2 linked regions of the Kluyveromyces lactis genome follow. Each later gene encodes a partner of the first gene's protein in a complex. Links are inferred from orthologs where the notes say so. Each region holds a gene or a part of one and is shown on either strand. Other genes may lie near its edges. The genes, in order: RRN9 and RRN10.

Evidence for each region.
Region 2: RRN9 (region 1) and RRN10 share a complex: the UniProt entries of both Saccharomyces cerevisiae proteins name them as parts of the UAF (upstream activation factor) complex. The link is inferred for Kluyveromyces lactis from reciprocal best matches to the Saccharomyces cerevisiae genes RRN9 and RRN10.

What each region holds. Positions count from the first base shown.
Region 1 is NC_006040.1:162,004-173,228, forward strand, and holds RRN9 (Rrn9p), read left to right. Parts: upstream 1-4,411; coding exon 4,412-5,650; downstream 5,651-11,225. Other genes in the region: ubiquitin domain-containing protein DSK2, read left to right, coding at 1-740; KLLA0_D01881g (uncharacterized protein), read right to left, coding at 867-1,844; orotate phosphoribosyltransferase URA5, read left to right, coding at 2,521-3,201; RNA-binding signal recognition particle subunit SEC65, read right to left, coding at 3,314-4,126; MDM1 (Mdm1p), read right to left, coding at 5,626-9,012; TMA23 (Tma23p), read right to left, coding at 9,233-9,781; ECL1 (Ecl1p), read left to right, coding at 11,114-11,225. UniProt on the Saccharomyces cerevisiae protein: Component of the UAF (upstream activation factor) complex which interacts with the upstream element of the RNA polymerase I promoter and forms a stable preinitiation complex.
Region 2 is NC_006042.1:1,161,156-1,171,292, forward strand, and holds RRN10 (Rrn10p), read left to right. Parts: upstream 1-1,583; coding exon 1,584-1,961; downstream 1,962-10,137. Other genes in the region: EMP24 (Emp24p), read left to right, coding at 52-651; NCL1 (tRNA (cytosine-C5-)-methyltransferase), read left to right, coding at 2,211-4,325; MCM DNA helicase complex subunit MCM2, read right to left, coding at 4,555-7,188; KLLA0_F12606g (uncharacterized protein), read left to right, coding at 7,925-9,004; KLLA0_F12628g (NAD-dependent succinate-semialdehyde dehydrogenase), read right to left, coding at 9,241-10,137. UniProt on the Saccharomyces cerevisiae protein: Component of the UAF (upstream activation factor) complex which interacts with the upstream element of the RNA polymerase I promoter and forms a stable preinitiation complex.

The sequences.
Region 1 (11,225 bases):
TCGCCAATTTGCCCTCAGCTGATATGTTTGGTCCAGACGGTGGCCTGAACAGCAGTAACGGCGCCAATCCCGAATCCATGCTACAAATGTTAGAGAACCCCATCTTCCAATCTCAAATGAATGAAATGTTGAGTAATCCACAAATGGTCGACTTCTTGATCCAACAGAACCCCCAATTACAGGCTTTGGGTCCGAGAGCAAGAGATATGTTACAGAGCCCCTTCTTTAGACAAATGATGACAGACCCTCAGATGATTAGACAGTCAATGCAAATGGCCAACTCGATGGGTATGTCTCCAGATGGTGCCGCTTCTGCATTTCCTGCGCCAGGTAGTGCTAGTGGGGCTGGTGGGGCTAATGAAACTAGTACAAATGATGCCGATAGTGCAGCAACAGGTGCTGCAGCATCTTCAACAGGCCAAGCTAACCCATTTGCAGGTTTATTCGGTGCGACTCCAGGAAATGCCGCAGCAGCTAATCCCTTCGCTGGATTATTCCCAGGTGGTCAACAACCTCAGTTCAACCAAGAGCTTTTAGCTAGTATGTTCGGTGGGAACTCCAACGCCACCGGTGCTGCTCCAGCTGTAGATAACAGACCACCGGAAGAACGTTACGAGTCTCAACTCAGACAACTAAACGATATGGGATTCTTTGATTTCGATAGAAATGTTGCTGCTCTAAGACGTGCCGGAGGATCTGTCCAGGGTGCTCTTGACGCATTGTTGAACGGCGACGTGTAATGGTTTCCTTTGTATCCACTCCCCTCTAGGCCTTTGCTCCTGATGTGACCCATATCGCTTCGTATGCAATTGTATATCTATCATCATCTCAGTTATGTACTATTTGTATATTTAAAGCCTTCGGCATCACCATTTAGTGATAATCCTTTTCAACCGTGAGATTCTGCCTTGCATTGACTCATCAGGGATCTCGATCAGAGTATCATAGAGTAAGTCGAGAATAGTATCCTGATCATAATGTGAACTCCATTTAGGATGTCCGTTGAAATCGGAATTACACAGCACTTGCTTCACATCAACTGTTAAGTACGATCCAACACATTGTAAGATCCCAAAATCTGTTTCAGATTGACCATCAACGGGAGCGTATCCTCTAAGTAGCACATACAAAAGAGCAATATCCGAACTTTGTAAAGATTGATATCCAAACCATCCACAAAGCAGTTTGATCTTCTCTGGGAGCGGAAACCCCAGCTGCCATGACTTAAATCTATCAGATAACCCAGAATACCGCGCCCATTGGATCTTAATCCTCTCAATCTCATAAATGACACTGCTCTTATTCACATAGTATACAATGTCCAACGGAACACTGCTAGTATGCCAAAAACAAACGGATTTGTGCATTGTTAACAAATGTGATGCATACTGCTGGTTGAACTCCGAATCGCAAAGGTCTAATGACAATGTTTCTTTGCAACTATCACACTTCAGTGTTACAACAGACCCATCACAAAACTCAATGCGAAGCCCGTGAGCCAAGATAGTGATGGGATTCACATATTGCGAGTCCCAAAATATCGCCTCTGTCTTAGTCGTCTGTACCATTCGTTCTAACGCCCTATGAAACTCATCTCTATTGAAAACGTCTATGCCTTTATAAGATTCACCCAAAGTATCAAGAACCCGCTCATAAGGAGCCACAGAAAATTTGGCACTATCTAATCGTACGGTTCTAGTTTTGTACCGGTATTTGTTGACCCGTGAAGATGCTCTTGACATCTTCTCAATCCATCGTGTCATGTACTTATCGACTTTTATTCGATCTTCACCGTCCAAATACCGACTTAATTGGTCTACTCTTTCTTTCAATTTGGTATCCATGATACACAGTATTATTCCAGCACCGATTATCCAAGACTTCTTTCCAGTTTTACAGAGAGCAAGCTTTTTATCCTGTATGTTCCCTCCAGTGCACCAGTCTAATTCAATTTAGAAACCCGCGATTATCAAATTGATTTTGCCTTATCAGGATCAGATGAAGAAGTTGGAAAACAGGATAAACTGGGATATAACATTAGCCACAGGCCCGATATCGAACCAATAGCCGTAGCATAACATAAAGCAGGTTGACCACACCTACGATTAGTTCAAGATCAAACATTGGGCGCTTGTGGAATGGTTTACGGTAATTATTCTGTAGCATCAGCGCACCCGTACACCGCATATCAAACTGCTTTCGGTCATCGAAATTTCATCAACTTTTCAACTAAAATTTCGGCAGGTCTTCAACAGGATCAGGAAGATACATGTGAACCCGAGCTATCAGAGCATCGCAGTGACGTTCGGTGGGTGTAAATACAGGATTCTGTTTGCAGAAAGCGTTTAATATCCCTTTTCTCGCATTAATTTTGCTGATTTTCTATCTAATAGAAGGACCAATCCTCTCTTTCTCTTTTAAAGCAGTACCACTAGGTTATTGTTGAGAAATCCCTGGTATAAACGACCCCTGCGAGGCATTACCGTATTACTATATCCGCCATTAATCACCTGTTCAAAGATGCCAACAGCATTGGAAGATTATCAAAAGAACTTTTTAGAACTGGCCATTGAGTCAAAAGCTTTAAGATTCGGTGAATTTACTTTGAAATCCGGTAGAGTATCACCATACTTCTTCAATTTAGGACTCTTCAACACCGGTAAGTTGCTTTCAAACTTAGCCACTGCTTATGCAATTGCCATTATCCAATCTGAATTGAAGTTCGATGTCATCTTCGGTCCCGCTTACAAAGGTATTCCATTAGCATCGATCGTTTGTGTGAAGTTAGCTGAAATCGGTGGTTCGAAATTCCAAGATGTGAAGTATGCCTTCAACAGAAAGGAAGCCAAGGACCATGGTGAAGGTGGTAATATCGTTGGTGCTGCACTAAAGGACCAAAAAATCTTGATCATCGACGATGTCATGACTGCAGGAACTGCAATCAACGAAGCGTTTGAGATCATTGCCAAGGAAGAAGGCAAAGTTGTTGGATCCATTATCGCATTAGACAGACAAGAGGTGGTTAACACCGAAGACACCGAAGTTCTAAGTGCTACTCAATCTGTTTCTAAGAGATATGACATCCCAGTTTTAAGTATTGTCAACCTGTCAAACATTATCAGCTACTTGGATGGCAGAATCTCTGTGGAAGAAAGGGAAAAGATGGAACAATACCGTCAAACTTATGGTGCATCTGCATAATATCACCCTCGAATCTATCTTAACATATATAATTATACATATTTAAAACAGACACTGGGAAACGCCGCTTCTTGTTTAGATATTTGGTGATAAAAATGACAGAAGTATTCCATTAACGTCTTACTACACGGAACTTGTTCTTTGGCATCTTCATTTGTTTCTCTGGTGCAGATACCTGCTGCGCGGGAGGCGGAGGTGGAGGAGCATCATATAGCGATTTTGTCATTGGATGCTGTGTCAAGTATGGACTATGCAATGGCACGATGTCATTCATTGCTGTTCCCTTCAATAAAGGAATCTTCTTCGGTTCTACGTTATCAAAATCTGGTCCATATGGAAGCTGTTTTACACTCTCAAGTGTTGTAGGATGGCTCTTCAAGTACTCTCCAATACGCTTCATCAATACTCGCTTGTTATCGATTCCACTCACAAATGGTTTTCCATTTTCCTTGATCAACACACGTACTCTTCCCGGATTACCAAAATCTTGTGGATGTGTCTTTGATCCTTCGAATATTGATGGAATTCCAAGCGATCTGGCAGCATCTGCTATCGTCTTGGCCAATGGGTTCTCCACACAAAGATCTTTTGGAGCACGTCTCCCTTGGGCATGCGTCCTTCTAGTGTCGAAATAACATGGATACAACATCTGGAATTCTTTGATCTCATCCAGCTCTTCTTTAGTCAAAGAATGACTCTTTTCCACTTGACCGGTGGTGCTATTAACAAAATTGAACCCACTACCGCTGCCTGCATTACCAGAAATTGCAGCAGAATATGCTTCTTCTTCTTGATCTTGCGATCTAACCACAGTGGGTACGATCTTTGGTGCCACTGGTGTCTTCATCGTGGAGTCCAATTCTGCGAGATCCATCTCTAAATTATCGATATCATCGATATCATCGATCTCTTCAATCACAGGCATTGTGTGTAAATATCCCTAACAAATACTGTAGCCTTAACTATTGCTTGGTTGATGCTGCTTTGTTTCCAACTCTTTGAAGTGGTCGTTCTTATCCACTGTTTAAAGCTCATCAAAAATTTTCAATTGAATTTAAAGGTTTAGTAGGGATAGAGAACTAAAGAGGATCAACTAACATGAATCCAAACAGCTACTAATGATTGAGTTCATAGCAATTGTAGCCGCTGGACTTCAAGTGGGTAGCTAACATTGTACCGGTCCCTTTTTATTCGGTTTTGTTTCGGTAAAATGGACTCACAACTGGCCCGTGATGCCATAGATCTGTTAGCAACGCTAGATCAAGAACAAAGGAATGATCTTTCAGTACATTTATACTCTGCGCATCTATTGAAACACTTATTGTATAGAGCGAATAAGGATGAGAAGAACATATTACGTACCGAGACGTTTGTGAAGACCGTCTTGAAAGAAGATTGGACCGCGTGGCCGAGCAGAAATTCAATAATCGACCCCAATACATCCGATATATATGAAGATCAAGCAGGGTGTCTCGCCTCTGAAAATATAGGCGGTATTCATAGGAAAGGGGTACAACCGGGTCAATTGGACCAGTCATCGTTGAACCATGCGACAGAGATGTTATATGGAGAACTCAATGCGTTCTGGCAGCAGAAACTCAAAGAGAGTTCGGTAATGGGCCAACAAACTGAAAATAAGACCGCCGATGAGGGTCAGATTGAGGATCCAAATACAATTGTCGATGAAAATGACAGTGAGATACTTGGCGTAAATGATACGGCGCTGGACGTCAACGAAATGGATTTACCAGATGATATATTTCAAAACCTACTGTTCAAGGTGGATAGGTTTATTGGATCTTTGCATTTGGATGCAGCTGAGACCAACACTGTCACGTTATCGACAATTCCTAGTGAGCCTGAGATCAAATTAAAGAGTACCACCATAGGCAATACTGAAGCAGTGACGACCAGAAGTAAAGAAAAGTACGATTACAAGGACATAATTGTGCACGGCTGTGAGACTGGGGAAGATATGTCTCGACAATATTTGCGGGCCATTGATTTATTTCAAGATCTGCCGAAGACTATGGACAAATCGCAGTTTGTACTCCCGGATGCATACTTGGACAGGTTCTCTCAGGTGAACCTGGGCAACTCGGACTCGGAACAATCAGATGATGATCCACAAGATCATACAAAGCTCGAAGAGAACATTAAGAAGAAAGAAAACAGTGGTAAGAAAGACGTGAAATCGTTCGTTGATATGAAACGAATTATCAAGGATCGTAATAATGATCCTGTAGTGAGAAGAGAGACAAGGCTCCTACTTAGGAAGGATGAGTTTGCGAGGGACAAGAAAATGTTCTTCACGGTCTTGAATCACCAAAACTCGAGTGAGCAATCCAACAAACCTCGAAGAAGAATCAAGAAGAGAGATAAGAACAACAATAAAAATATAGTTTCACTAAATATTGACTCGGATTATGGACCTGGAGACTTGGATTGAATTCGTTTAATCTCATCAAACATGACATCCATAATCTCGAGCATCAAACTAACATTTAAATACTCGTTCTGTAGCATTGAATGTAATCTATATCCTGCATTGCTCGCATACATTGTGCCGACCACTTTCCCGCAAGTCTCTACCATAAACCTTTCAAGCATCGCCTGCGATTCTGTACTGGTTCGGATAATTTCACCTTCGGTCCTGGCTGATGGCTGTGGAATGCTGCTGCTCTTGAAGAATATATCATCTACCCAAAGTATGGAATTAAGTTTAGAGATAAGGAGTGTTACTTTCTCTGGTGATCTGATTCGTTGTATAACATCTTTGATATATTTCTCAATAGTGCTACCCAATAATCTTTGTAATACAACTATGATAGCCCTTCCTCTTAGCCAACCGGTATTGGACTGGTTTAGAGCAAAAAAAGAAATGAACAACTCACATATGGGTTTCACTAAGGTTCCTGTATTGTTGCTACCATTTGCTCCCGAATGGAAATTTCTCTCGTCCTCAAAGAAATCTAATTCATCTGAGAAACTTTTGGGATCATCAAATCTCCCTGCTGATACATTTGTAACTTCTCCAACGGTGTTGTCCGTCTTTAAAAGAACCATTGATCTTCTCTTATCCTCAACATCTTCTTCCAAATTCTCTTTAACCTTAAAAGTGTTGGAAACATCCGTCAAATATTTTCTAAAGTATTCATCTTGACAAACCTCACGTATTTTTAACAATTCCTGCATGTAGTATTCGAGTCTTTTTCTTCTTTCTTCATACAATAATGTTTTCGATACATGATACTTTAATGACATTTTTACTCTCTCCGGGAAGCCATTAGAATTTTGCAAATAGCTTACCACCCCCGGATACTTCTTCTTCAAGTAGGAGTTCAACCTGTAGAATTCGCTGAATCTTCGAGGTATATCCCACGTAACTAACTGGTTGTTGAAGATATGCTGTACATTTATCAAATAGTAAACAGTTTCTTTACCATCTTCAAGAGACACATCAGTCAAATAAGATTTAATACAAAGTTTTGCCCTGCCATATAAAATATTAGCGTTCTCATGAACCATATGCTGTTGTTTAAGCAATTCTTTGTATTCCAGTTCTCTTCTAAGTGTTCTTTCCGATTTCTTCAACAATATCAGTCTCGTTTGATTATTAGTTAGCTCCGCCTTCAATATCAAATGATGTAGAAGCTCCAGCTGCTTTTTAAGTGTATCAATTGATAAAACCAAATTACCTATTTCCTCCTTCAAATTTAAAGAATTCAAGATAGACGTATCATTATAACTGCCATTTTCCTGCTTGCTTGATCCGTTCAAGCTTTCTAGACTACTGTTTGCAATCGAATAAGGGTAAAACGATACCGAGTTCAATTCAGAGGTTTCTTCGTCCTCTTGTACGGAGGTATCTCCAAATAGTTCATCATCGAACAAAGATTTCTCTCGCGCACCGAAAATATTAGAGTACGATTTCTTAGGAGTTTTCAAACTTGAAATAGCATCGGTGGTGCTCACATCGTTATTGTTTAAAATGTCATCTAACGCTTTGCCTAAATTACCATGTGTGATTACCCTCACGGTGTCCGTTGGAAAATCATTGTTCAAAGTATTTGACGCTTGAGTGGCTATATTATGAGCCTTTATAAAATCGCTATCAGCCAACATCTGATAAAAATTATCAGAGTCTTTGAATATAGGGTACCATTTTTCGGCTAATATTTTAAGAGCCGATTTCTGTAACAACAACATGCATCTACGAGCCTCTACTGATTTGTCAAACTGTGACTCTGTTACGGAAGGAGTATCATCCCTTTCCTTCAAAAAATCAATAATCGTTTTGACGCTATTAGAATCCAATTCCTCAATGTGTGCTCGAGAAATAGGAGAGCTGAAAAATTGTTGCTCAAGTTCTCTTAAATGTTTATTGCCATTTTTGGAAGTATCAATTTGTATCTCATCATTAGATATATCTTCTAACGGATTCCGTTTCCTTTCGATAAAGGACCACAGCTGTAAAGCAATTATTCCTGATTGATCTGTTTGTGGTTCAAGGAATGCCGAAAAGAACTTCAAAGAGGAAACATTCGTAAGCACATCTTGAACAGTGACCGTTTCCACAAACTTCTCAAAGGATTGTAATTGCTGCTCTAGATTATCGTGTGCCTGGTTACTCTGTGGGTCATTTGGGCTTAGATATGCAAGCTTGCTGTATATTAGATTCAATGCCAATTCAATCCTCTTATTAAACAAAGCGTGCTTTTTTTGAAAAGACTTTGAGGATACTTCTCCTTCATTCGGTACGCATCGTATTTGTAGTGCATCAATCCATAACTTAACCTTGAGGATATTTAATTGGCTGACTTCCGTGAGACAACTCAACTGCTTTAAGAAACATTCGTAATCATCATCTGTTCCATGAACATTCGTTACATCAATAGTACCACTTTTCGCAAGACTTTCATTATCCAGACAATTTTCATCATCAGCTTCAATCGTTTTAGATAGTACAGCTCGGAGCTCGGTGACTTGGGACCTTTCCTTTAAGACTTGAGAACAAATATCGATCAATTTAGTGTTCCAGAAATCTGGAGTCGCAATCCTTGAAACGAGTGGCTGAAGAACCGAACACGCCACAACTTCTCTTAGAATTGTCCTGACAAAAGGTGATTCTAACTCCTTGGGATCAACAAGAATCGATAGCAACTCTTTAGCTCTTTTCCGGGAATAATTTTGTACATCCTCAGAAAGACTTTCCTGACTCAAAGTGAGAGATAGATCCTTATGGATACGGTACTGCTTATTGAATTCCACTGCTACAGCTAAATCCACATTTTGTTCAGGTTTGTCTATAGCAACGCTACTTGTGATGCTCTCTTGAGATATATAGAAGGTAGTGTAATGTTTCGTCAATAAAGGTAGTATTCTTAAAATCATCAACTCACAAAGGTCAACATCTGAGAGAGCAATCGAAAATCGTATTATGGCCTCTTTTAACACCGATTTCACAGTATTGGGAAATTTGTCTGATTCACTGATTGATCCAAACCAGGATAAAATGAAATTGCTGATGATGTTATTGAGTAAGATATCAATTTCTTTTGATAATGCTTCGTTATTGGGGAACAAGGCTTCTTGACCGGCAAAATTATCATCATCTGAAGTTTTGGTAATAGGTTTATCACCTGTGAACCTTAGCGTTGGTTTTGTTGGGAGCACCCGAGGTTGTTCATTTAATGCAAGATATATCCAAATGATTGACAAAAGAGACGCAACCGATAGGACAAACAAACACTCCCCCCACCCCAAGAAGAAGGGAACCACGAACAAAACATGCCACTTGAAACTGGGCATTTAGAAATTCAATATATGGACTGCTGCCAATGGAATGCTGTTAAGCCGCGTCTTGGGCAGTATCTTTTCGACAGTGGAATAATTTAGCTTGTTTACACTATTTGTTGAAAACCTTGAAATGAACTAAATGCGTTTAAATCGTCTATCTAACGAGAATTTTTATATACAACATGTACGTACAATGGAGGGATGATGCTGCAAGAAGAAAATAAAGAGAACATCAATGTGAACTTTTACGCTTGTGTGTACCCTTCTTATCCTTCTTATCCTTCTTGTCTTTCCTATGCTTATCCTTCTTGTCTTTCTTATGCTTACTCTTTGGCTTGTCAACCTTATGCGACTTCTTCTTCTTCTTCTTCTTCTTCTCGTCTTTGCTCTTTTTATCTTTCTTCGATGTCACTTCAGAAACAGCCAGTTTAACTATAGTAGATCCATTGTTGGACGGCAGATCTGTTTTAATGGTACCTTTCAACACTTCACCTCTAACAAATGATCGATAAAGTGGTGAATCGCTCTTTGATATGGAAGAAGCGACGACTTCGTTTTGTTTGAACGAGATCCCATCGGACCCGCTTTTGATGTCCAAGTTTCGAAGTTGTCCGTCGAACAAACGTTCCCACCAGGCTTCACTGTCATCATGTCCTGGTGCACATCCAAGCCCTTTCTTATCTTTCTTGTGTTTCACAAGAATCGGTTTTTTCAGTCCTCCGTTCCGTAAGGCCTCACCTTCTTGCCAGCCATACGATTTAAGGTACCCTTTACTGTCCATGGGTAATATATGGTGGAACTGAGGTATAATTATCGGGGATTCACAATGGTAGATCAGCAAACAGATCGGTAATCTTACCAATGTCAATGTCACTTTAATTGCTGTATATCATCTTCTCATCTCATCTCATCGCGAGTTGAAGAATTTCTTTTCAAAGAGAAACATTTCGATTGTGGTCACGTGAACACAGTCTTCATCATTACCCGGAGCAATAGCATCACGTGCCACGGTTTTTCTTCTTTTCCTGTGTCATTTAAGGTTGTCACCACACTGCCAAGACTTACTCTATGGAGGATCTAAAATTACTTAACACATGGGGCTACACCGTGGCTGGCTCCATGAGTTGAGGCCATGAAACGTGTACGTTTCATGCTCCGCCTGAGACAAAACCACAAAACCCCAAGAAACCTCTAATTAATTGGTATTCAAAACACACAACTCCACAGATAGACACGGCGTGTGTGTATTCTGAGTGGGCTTTAAACTCTAAACTCTAAACTCTAAACCATGTACATCAAGATCTCCGGCACGTGACCTGTGTTTAAATAATCACTCAACGAGCATATGGCACCTTGAGTGATTATAAATCCCCAATTTTAGCAAACAGGGCTGGCTGGATCGATGCCCGGTCCGAACAAAAACGTGTAGAAAACCGTTTTAAATCAGTAAACAACGAGAACGGGCGAAGACTTGCTAAAAATACACTGACAAACGTGCGTATGTGATGCTAACACCGTTCCTTTCGCTTCCTTTCGTTTCGCTGTTGCGATGAGCAAAATGGTGAAAAATTTTTTTTTTCACCTTCCCACGGTGTGGACAATGGCGTGGCTCATTCCGACCTACTGAGAAAGAGACCTCAGAGAAAGACTCCAGAGGACTCGAGTGTCATCGACAGCGATCCTGGGCGATTCGGAATGGGGCCTAGGGCTAGACACTAGGAAACCTGCGTCTTTACGATCTTGTGTCATGTGTCATGGTGCCACGATTTGTGTGTAATGACGGAGAAAAATTCCAACTCTGGCGGTGTATGTGTGCTCGTGTGCCCTGAGAACATTTTAGACGTTTTGAACATTCTCGCATGTGTGTGTGGTCATTATTATTTCATTACCTAATTGCTAAAACTCAGCTCACCTTTAGTTGAGATTAAGGCACGATGTCCATAATCTTTTTATATAATACATATATATAAGCAATATATATATTGGGTATATGGTGAAAATAGTAGCTGAGGGGATTTCAAGTGTAATCACGAGATAGATAGGGAAAGAGAAAACCTTTTCACAAGCCAGTGAAGCCGAGGATACCTGTCTGCGCAATACCTACTAGTTTACGATGTCAGCATTCAACGATTATTGTACCGTTTGTGGCCAATTGATTGAACGTGGTAATTGCGATGCTCAATTGGATAATGACAGGTTATACTGTTCTTCTCAATGTCAAGAAA
Region 2 (10,137 bases), on another chromosome or scaffold:
CAACCGTCTAGTGAAAAACAACTAGTAGCCAGAGAGTCCTTACATATAAGAATGCTATTACAATTTTTGGTGTTACTATTTGCTGGTTTGTGTAACGCACACACGGTACATCTACCAGCGTACGGTCGTCGTTGTTTCTTTGAAAACTTGAACAAAGGTGACGAGCTATCTGTATCTTTCCAATTCGGTGATAGAAACCCTCATGGTACTGAACAATTGACTGGTGATTTCGTTCTATATGGGTCTCAAAGAAGCGAGGTCTTGAAAACTTTGAGAGACGTGTCACATGGTGACGTGTTTGTGAACGCTCCATACACCGGCAAGTTCCAATACTGCTTTTTGAATGAAAACTCGAACATTGACACTAAGGACGTGACTTTCAATGTTTTCGGTGTTATTTATGTCGATTTAGATGATCCAAACACCAGATCTTTGGACGGCTCAGTGAGACAATTGTCCAAACTGGTCAAAGAAGTGAAGAACGAACAAAGTTACATTATTATCAGAGAAAGAACTCACAGAAACACAGCAGAATCCACTAATGACCGTGTCAAATGGTGGTCTGTGTTCCAATTGCTCGTCGTTGTAGTGAATTCGTTGTTCCAGATCTATTACTTGAAGAGATTTTTCGAAGTCACTTCGTATGTGTAAGTAAAACGAAAGGCATGGCTGCATGAAGTATATCAGATATAGTCGTCGTGTATATTCAAAGTAAAAATATGTGTATATGTATATCCAGGTTTTTCCTCTAGCGCATAAGTATATCATATTAGAGGAGTAATCCCTAGGGCTGGAAATTGAATAAAGAAAAACCTTCACGTGATCGCCTCAATCTGCTATCATCTTCTTTTTTCCTCAAATATGTTTAAGAAAGCACCCTGTCGAAGGAGTGTGATGCTTGGATATGTGGCTCCGGTTCGAAACCGCACAGTCACACCGGGTCTCTTTCAAATGGAAGAGGTTTCACAATGGTATCCCAAACAGGCGTGAAATGTCTCGTAGTGGTTATATGCCATTACCCGCTTTTCGTGTCTGGCCGCCCGGTCTACGCGTTCATTTATTTGTGTAACTGCTTTGGACAGCTGGATCTCGGTTCGGTTGTCACGTGGTCGACGTGTCCCACCGTTACAAAATTGTTGCGGGTTATCCTTTGTGGTGGCTCGGTCGCATGAGAAGTCTGCGGTTCGAAGCCCAACTGGTAACGATTTAGCATTTCAACTAATACTTGAAGCTAGTTTAGTGTTTAACGTTGTAGGGGAGTCTCATCCAGCACAACGAACACTGCCCGTGACGAGGTGGTGTGGATTGCACGTCCCGTGGTTAAGCAGTGCGTGTGGGTTCAGAGGCAGACATACACTGTCCTTCATTTTTTTTGGCTGTACTTAGAAGTATGTTATATGGCTAGCGTCGTGCACTGATTCATCATTCAACAAATACTCCAGCGAAGCTGCACTGTTTGTCTAGTTTAAATTTGAACTATCTCACTATGTTAAAAAATTGTGAATTGCACATAACTACAACAACTTCTGTTTCCCCGGTTCATACTATACACAGCCATTTAGCATTCCAAAAGCATACCTCCAATGAACGCAAACGTATATGAAGCAAGCCATAACCTCGTCAAAGGTCCAAATGGATCAATTCTTTCACCGGATGAATGCCTTGGTTTAAGGTTGAACCATATCGTTCCAATCCCATTATTGACTAGAGACGAATTACAAACGAGATTACCCACTATTGATACGAAAGTGGTGCATTACTTTTTGACACAACTCATCTTACAAAGGTACCCGCATCTAGTGAAACGATTCGATGAGACCAGTCTCATCACAATTAGTTGGTTATTGGAGAAATGGATCGAAGATTACTTAGTGCTGCCGGAAACTGGATCCGTGTCTGAAGGGGTTTCTCAACAGATTAGCAAGGATATAAATTACAGATACTCACCAGCTGATATTTAGAGGTAATACTACTTAGTGTGTGTGTTTTACATGCCTTCCATTGTGTACCTGATCCAGTCTCTCTATTTACATACCACGTGACTTGAAAATTTTCCGAGACTTTGAAGAAAAGAAAAAGTGAAAATTAGAATCCGTTGATGATGCGATGAGATGAGCATTGTTTCCTGTCAGATACGGTCTTGTGTGTCTTGCTGTTGGGTTTATTCGGTTCTCTCTTACCAGAACTAGTGCAACATACAAGCAGGAGAAATGGCTAGAAGAAAGAATCAAAAGAAGGGACCAAAAAAGACTTTTGGTACTCGTGATGACTCCAACAACCAAAAGAATTGGACTGAATTAGTGAAGGAAAACGAGAAATGGGAAACTTACTACAAGGATTTAGGTGTAATCCCAGTTGAAGAATGGGACCAGTTTAAGAAGACTTGCCAGTCGCAATTACCTTTAACTTTTAGAATCACTGGTTCTCGTAAACATTCTAAAGAAGTACTACAACTGTTCCAAGAACACCATCTACCCAATTTGACCAACGTTACTTGGGAAAATGAAGTGGTTAAGCCACCAATGGCTTTGCCATGGTACCCGGAACATCTTGGCTGGCAATTAGATGTTTCTAAGAGTGTTATCAGAAAAAATGAACAGTTTGCTCGTATGCAAAGATTCCTTGTTGTTGAAAACGCTGTTGGTAACATTTCCAGACAAGAAGCTGTCTCCATGATTCCACCTATTGTGTTGGATGTTAAGCCTCACCATTATGTTTTGGATATGTGTGCTGCCCCTGGTTCTAAGACTGCACAGTTGATTGAAGCTTTACATGCCGAATCTGATGAACCTTCTGGGTTTGTCATAGCTAACGATGCAGACTATAAGAGATCTCATATGTTGGTGCACCAATTGAAACGTTTGAATTCTGCTAACTTGATGGTCGTTAACCATGATGCTCAATTCTTCCCACGTATCAAAGTGGATTCCACCGAAGGTTCTAAAGGTCCTCAGTTCTTGAAATTCGACAGAGTTTTATGTGACGTTCCATGTTCTGGTGACGGTACTATGAGAAAGAACGTCAACGTTTGGAAGGATTGGAACACTGGATCTGGTCTAGGTTTACACATTGTGCAATTGAATATCTTGGAAAGAGGTCTAAATTTGTTGAAAGAAGGTGGTAAACTTGTATACTCCACTTGTTCTTTGAATCCAATTGAAAACGAAGCAGTTATTGCTGCCGCTTTGAGAAGGTGGGGTGATAAGGTAAGATTGGTCAACTGTGATGATCAATTGCCAGGTTTAGTCAGATCTAAGGGTATCACTGAATGGAAGGTATACGACAAACAATTCCAAGTTAGAGAAAAAGGACATGAAAACTGTTTGGATTCATGGTTCCCACCAACTGCAGAAGAGGTTGAAAAATTCCATTTGGAAAACTGTATGAGAGTGTACCAACATCAACAGAATACAGGTGGGTTCTTTATCACCGTTTTCGAGAAGATCGATACATCAACTGCTGAAACTCCGGTACCAGCTTCTGAAACTGCTGCTGCTGTAGAAGAACAAGCCCAAGAACCTGAACTAAAAAAGGCTAAAATCGATACATCCTCTACTGCCTCTCACATTCAAAAGAAGGAAAAACTACCTCGTGATGCCAATGAAGAACCATTTGTGTTCGTGGATCCAAACCATCCAGCATTAGCCAAATGTTGGGAGTTCTACGGTATTGATGACAAATTTGATAAGTCCACTTGTTTGGTTCGTAACGCTACTGGTGAACCAACTAGAACTATCTACCACGTCGCTACTCCATTGAAACAATTGATTGTAAACAATGAAGATAGACTAAAGATTGTTTACTCCGGTGTAAAACTGTTTGTTTCCCAAAGGTCAGACATTGATTGTGCTTGGAGAATTCAATCCGAATCCTTACCAATCATGAAACAACATATGAACTCTGCCAGAATCGTCCCAGGTAACATGGAAATTCTAAAGAAGTTGTTAACTGAAGCTTTCCCAAGATACGAAGACTTAACAGCGGACAACGTCGATCCAGAATTCATTTCCAAGACTCAAAAACTGAGTGCAGGATGCACTTTCATTAAAGTCGATAGAAATGATCCATCCAAGGAAGATTTGTTTTTACCAGTTTGGAACGGATCAAAATGTATCAACTTGATGGTTTGTAAAGAAGATGTTCACGAATTGTTGTACAGAATTTTCGGCATCGAAACAACCAGCAAACAAAATCCAAAGGCTGATCATATGGCCAAGAAGGCCCAAGAAGCAGCTGACGCATCAGCTAACTCTTCGAAGGAAGAGACTTCTGAGAAAGAAGAAGTACCTGCTGTAACTGTCACTGAAACATCCACGGCTGAATAAGTTTCTTCACTCCACATTATCAGTTATAGACTTCTACATGAAATTATAAAAGCGGTATTCCTTTGAAGGTTGAAGTAATCATTATTTAAGTCTATTAGTTACAAATTTGTATATTATGCTAATATAAGCGATGTAGTACTGCATCTATAATGGAAAAAATGGGAACGGTATATTGTTGTTCTGAGCTTATAGAATTGTTTTCTTCCGTTGGAAATGTTGAATCTTGATTTCACATTGTTCCCATAGTATAAACAGCGAAAGATCTTTGTAGTTGGCGACGTACACTAATCTTTTGTGCACCCACAAAACTGTCCACTGTTACTTTAATTGCTCTGTCTAAATCCCATGAGGAAACGAATTCTGATAATCTCATTTTCGCGAAGGCTTCAGCAATTCTTAAGATAGATTCCAAATGACGAACGGTGATCGGGAATGAACCAGTAGTGACACTCTCTCGTCTCAAATCAGCATAAACCCTACTCACTTTGTCCATATCCATTTGATGTAACTTAGGGTAAACTTTAGTTCTTGCGTAATGAATATACTTCATTAGCATATGCTGAGATATGGGCGAAATTTCTTCTTCTCTTTTACGAAGGTTCTGCAAGCGTCTTTGTTTGGCAGATAACGGAGTTTCTTCATCACCCTCCCCATTAGGATTTTCCGTTGGAACGTTACCATCATCAAAATCATCCAGATCCTTGTCTGGATGAGACCTGATATGTGAATCAACGACGAAAGATGCTAGCCGATTATCACTTTCTTCATCAACCAAATCTCTTACCACGCAGAGGATATCGAATCTTGACAAAATTGGTTCAGTCAAATTGACATTTTGTGATAACGGAAGAGTAGAGTTGTAACGACCACCGATCGGGTTGGCGGCAGCTAAAATAGAGCATCTGGCTTGTAACGTGGTAACGATACCTGCCTTAGAGATGGATATACTTTGCTGTTCCATTGCTTCGTGAATAGAAGTACGATCCTGATCGTTCATCTTATCGAATTCATCAATCAAACAAACACCCTTATCCGCAAGCACTAACGCACCACCTTCAAGAGTCCACTCTTTAGTTATTTGGTCCTTCCTGACAGAAGCTGTCAAACCGACTGCAGAAGCACCTTGACCTGTAGCGAAGACAGCTCTGTTGGCAGTTTTTTCCACGTATTTCAAAATTTGGGACTTGGCAGTACCTGGATCACCGAGAAGTAGAATGTTTATGTCACCACGGATGGAATGCTTACCGTTAATGTTTTTAGGAACACCTCCGAATAAAGAACATGCAATTGCTGTCTTGATATCCCTGTGCCCATAAATAGATGGAGCCATTGATGAAATGATTTTATCGATGATTCCTCTGTCACGAGACATCTTTCTGAATTCACGCTCTTCGTCTTCTGTCCAACTGAAGGCATCCAGCCCTTCGTGTTCATCACCATCATGCAATCCGCCTTCTCTTCTCTTCACTGAATTGGCTTCCAGTACTGTTGCGAAAACGGGGAACCCGTTCTTTGCATTCAAATTACCGTCATATGTGTTCTTATAGATTCCTGTCACTTCGACTTCTTCACCAGGTTTTGCGATATCAACCAAGTCCCACAACAAAATGACTTCTCTGTGACGTGGTAATCTACCGGCTGGAACAGACCCTGGTGATTCTTGGATGGTGATTCTTTGGTAATTACGGTACAGAGTTTTTTCCATATTAATTCTGAAGGGACCCTTAGATCTACAATTTGTGCAGAACGAGATTTTAATTTCTTCATTTGAATCCTGATAGTAAGGCCCAAGTGTGGCACCACATTTCAAACAGTTGAATTTAACGTATTTAAGTTGTGGGAAGACACCAGTTCTTCTTGTCACGACACCACTAACTCTAACTAAAGAATTCAAATGAGTTTCACGTAAAGCACGTAAGTTCAATATACTAGGGAAATCCGAGATTCTTACGTGAATTTCCGAGTGAATACGAGTATAATCGGGATAGTGTAGTTGTGTAGCTTCCATAGCCACTGTATCAAATATTTTCAACATTTCTTCGGGAGATTTGGCTAAAAATAGGGCTAGAATGGCCTTGGATTCTACCAAATGTCTATAATTAACTTCCAAGGATTCAGAGTTCATTTCACCGAGAGTTCTGATACGAGCACCGTAAACGGATTTACCTGACTCATCAGTATATTCAAGCAAAAACGATTTCAACTCTCTGGCAATAGTACGTGATACATTCGGTTGAGTGATCCATTCAGAATAACTTGATGCCTTCACATCTGCCAAAGATTCCAACGAGAGCTCATCTGCCAACGGATCTATATCCATATCTGATAACAAATCATCATCTGCTTCTTCGTATTGACGTCTTCTACGTCTCCTCTGTACTGGAAGACCCATAGCATCCAAATTATGCGCACCAGCTCCTTCGCCATCATCATCATCAAGGTATGCTGTGTTCCTATGCACCAAACGATCTCTCTCGTTCAATTGTGCATCGATTCTTCTACGCTCAGCGAGCGACAACTCTTGCTGCTCCTGGTCGTCGACTCCTCTTCTTTCATACGTATCATGTTCTGTGTTTGAAGCGTAATCACGGTACATATCATCACCCATCAAATCGACTTCATTCATTCTTTCTTCCACATCTTCAAGATCCTCTTGAACATTGACAGCTTCATCTCCATCGTTATCTGGATTCTCAAAATCTATCTCATCTGGAGATCCAAGCGGGTCTTCAAACTGTGGAGAACTAGGGATGTTAGCGCCACCTTCACGGGGTTGTGTAGACAAAGAATCATCCTCATCCTCATCATCATCAGCTCTTCTTCTTCTCCTCCTTCCGTTATTTATTTCATCATTATCAGACATCTTGAAACACTTTCAAAAACAGCAATTAATAATCTTCAATTATCGCACTACCAAATCCGATCACACAATTGTCTTCCTGATGCTTCGATGACCTACTTGTTACACTTTGTTTCAGACCATTGGGATCTAAAGCTATCTTAAGATCTTAACGTTTTTTCCGGCTTTTTTCTTCAGTTGAATGTACGAAAATGATCTTTAATTGAAACAATAACATTTCCTAAAATGGTGTTTTGCAACGATCTGACCATTGTAGAGCGTTGGGGCTAATAATACAGCAATGGCAATATTCCAATAACACCAATCGGTAGTTCTCACCTCTTTTAGCTTTGCAATCTACATTTGATTAGTATAATTTCTTTATTATGATGCGTGGATCACGTGATAATCACATGGGATCATACGCTTAAAAACCGTACTTATAGCTCCAATCACACGATGAAGCAACACAATTGCAGGTAAAGTATGGATGTTGAAGCTCTGGAATGATGTGATGCATTTTGTGCCCCATATTAGATCGATTTCCATCCGGTAACCGTCCAAATGTGTCGATATTGACGTAAAATCATACGGAATATTGATTCATCGACATGGAAAATCTCTTACTATCAATGAAATATCCCCAAATTTAAACATAAGGAACACGTCAAGTTAAAGGCAAAAAGGGTACCTTCATTCACGCATTTCTTACTACAAGGTGAGTTCTGGCACTTAAAGATAGTCTTGTTGGTGTTAGGGAATGAGCGAGATTAGCGTTAAAGAATATGTGAAGCGACAGGAGGAACTGGAAGATGAAGCAAATAAACTGATGCCATATGATCCAAGCCATTGCACTTATTCCATGGGCCCAATTCGACAGCCAATATTCGCATGTCGTACTTGCAACAGTATAGGAGTGTGCTATTCATGCTCTATTCAGTGTCACAGTACCTGTGACTTGGTGGAACTTTTCGATAAGAGGAATTTCAGTTGCGATTGCGGTACAGAAAGGCAGTTTGAACACGGTGAGAAGTTCACACCTTGTAATATAAGAAAGAATACTACACCAGATATACCAGACATGAGTAACAGGTATGGCCAGAATTTCAAAGGGTTATTTTGCTCTTGCCATAGAGAGTATGACCCGAATACAACGACAACGATGTTACAATGCGTCCTTGGCTTGGAGTGCAATGAGGACTGGTTTCATGATCACTGCATTCTAGGGATAGAAGAAAACCCAGACCCGGTTACAGAAGACAGAAAGCTACCAGGATTCCCTGAACTGTCAAGTTTCGAAGGATTTATCTCATGGGTTTGTATTGACAAGTACAGCTCGATATTTGAAAAGCTTTTATCACACGAAGCGTGTGATAAAATCATAGCACATAAAGTGTACAGGAGAGATCTGGTATCGGATCAGAACTCCGAGGGAATGACATTGGAAAGTACCAAGAAAAGAGGGCTAGAAGAAATGGAAAACTCTTCGGGTTCATATTCATTATTCTTGAAAGAAGGATATAGGGAAGAATTTAAACGATTAAGGGATTCACTTCCAGAAGGTGACTCCTTGAAAAGCTTTTTCATGCACACAGCACCATTCCTCACTTGTGAAGAGAAAGTTTATGAACCCCCGGAGGAACAAGAGCAAGGATCTCTTGTAGAAATGGGAGAAACGGCCCTAGCTCAAAACTTGTCTCATCAGCAAACTCTAGCCAGTCTAGTCGCTTTCCAGCAAATAAAATCAAAACTAACAGATTTCCTACGACCATTTGCGGAAAACGATAAGGTCGTTAGTGAATCTGATATCAAGCAGTTTTTTGATACTCAGAAAAAATGAACTCTTGTTACGACATTTAATCATCATAAACTTTAAATGTGGATATGTTATATACATTGCTACATTTAGAAGAATTTATTGTCAATAAGAGGGATATCTCGAGCTTCTACTCTAAACTTTTCATTTACACATGTATGTATTCAAAAAGGTGTTAGTTTTATATAACATATGAGATAACTTGCATATCCGAATAGACTTCATTTTAGTAGATATAAGAGTTTTTCAAAGTGAATTGTCTATGGTGCCACAATGATGGCCTTCAATTCAGTGTAATCATCGATACCATACTTAGAACCTTCTTTACCTAAACCTGAATTCTTAACACCACCGAAAGGTACTGCAGGTTCACTGATTTCTCCAGTGTTGACACCAACCATACCAACATTTAGTTTCTCTGCGGCATCAAAAATGGTGCTAATATTTTGACTGTAGAAGTAGCCTGCTAAACCGACATCCGTGTCATTAGCACGTTTGATGACTTCATCCACATCCTTAAACTTAATTAATGGAGCAACAGGTCCAAAGATTTCTTCATAAAATATATCCATGGACTCGGTTACATTACCAAGTACTGTTGGTTGGTAGAATAATGGACCTAAAGAACTAGCTCTTGAGCCACCTATCAAGACGTCTGCTCCCTTCGTTTTTGCATCCTGAACTAAAGATGCGACTTTGTCAATGGATTTGTCATGGATCAATGGACCGTGAGTGACACCGTCTTGGAACCCATCGCCTAATTTAAAGGTTTTGTCGATCTTATCAACCAACCTCTTACTGAATTCATCGTAAAGATCTTCATGCACAAAGATTCTGTTTGCACAGATACAAGTTTGTCCGGATTGTCTGAATTTACATCCGATTATTCCATCTAAGGCACGGTCTAAGTCAGCGTCCTTGAAGACGATATATGGTGCATTACCCCCCAATTCCATAGAGAATTTCTTGATATTCTTTCCCTTGCTTGATTGTCCCATTAACAATTGACCGATTTTAGTTGAGCCAGTGAAAGTGATCTTCTTGACCAATTCATGTTCGCAAACGTATTCACCTATTTCACTTGTGTGATTAGTTGGTAAGATATTGCATACACCTGCAGGAAGACCGGCTTTCTCTGCGATCACCCCTAACGCCAA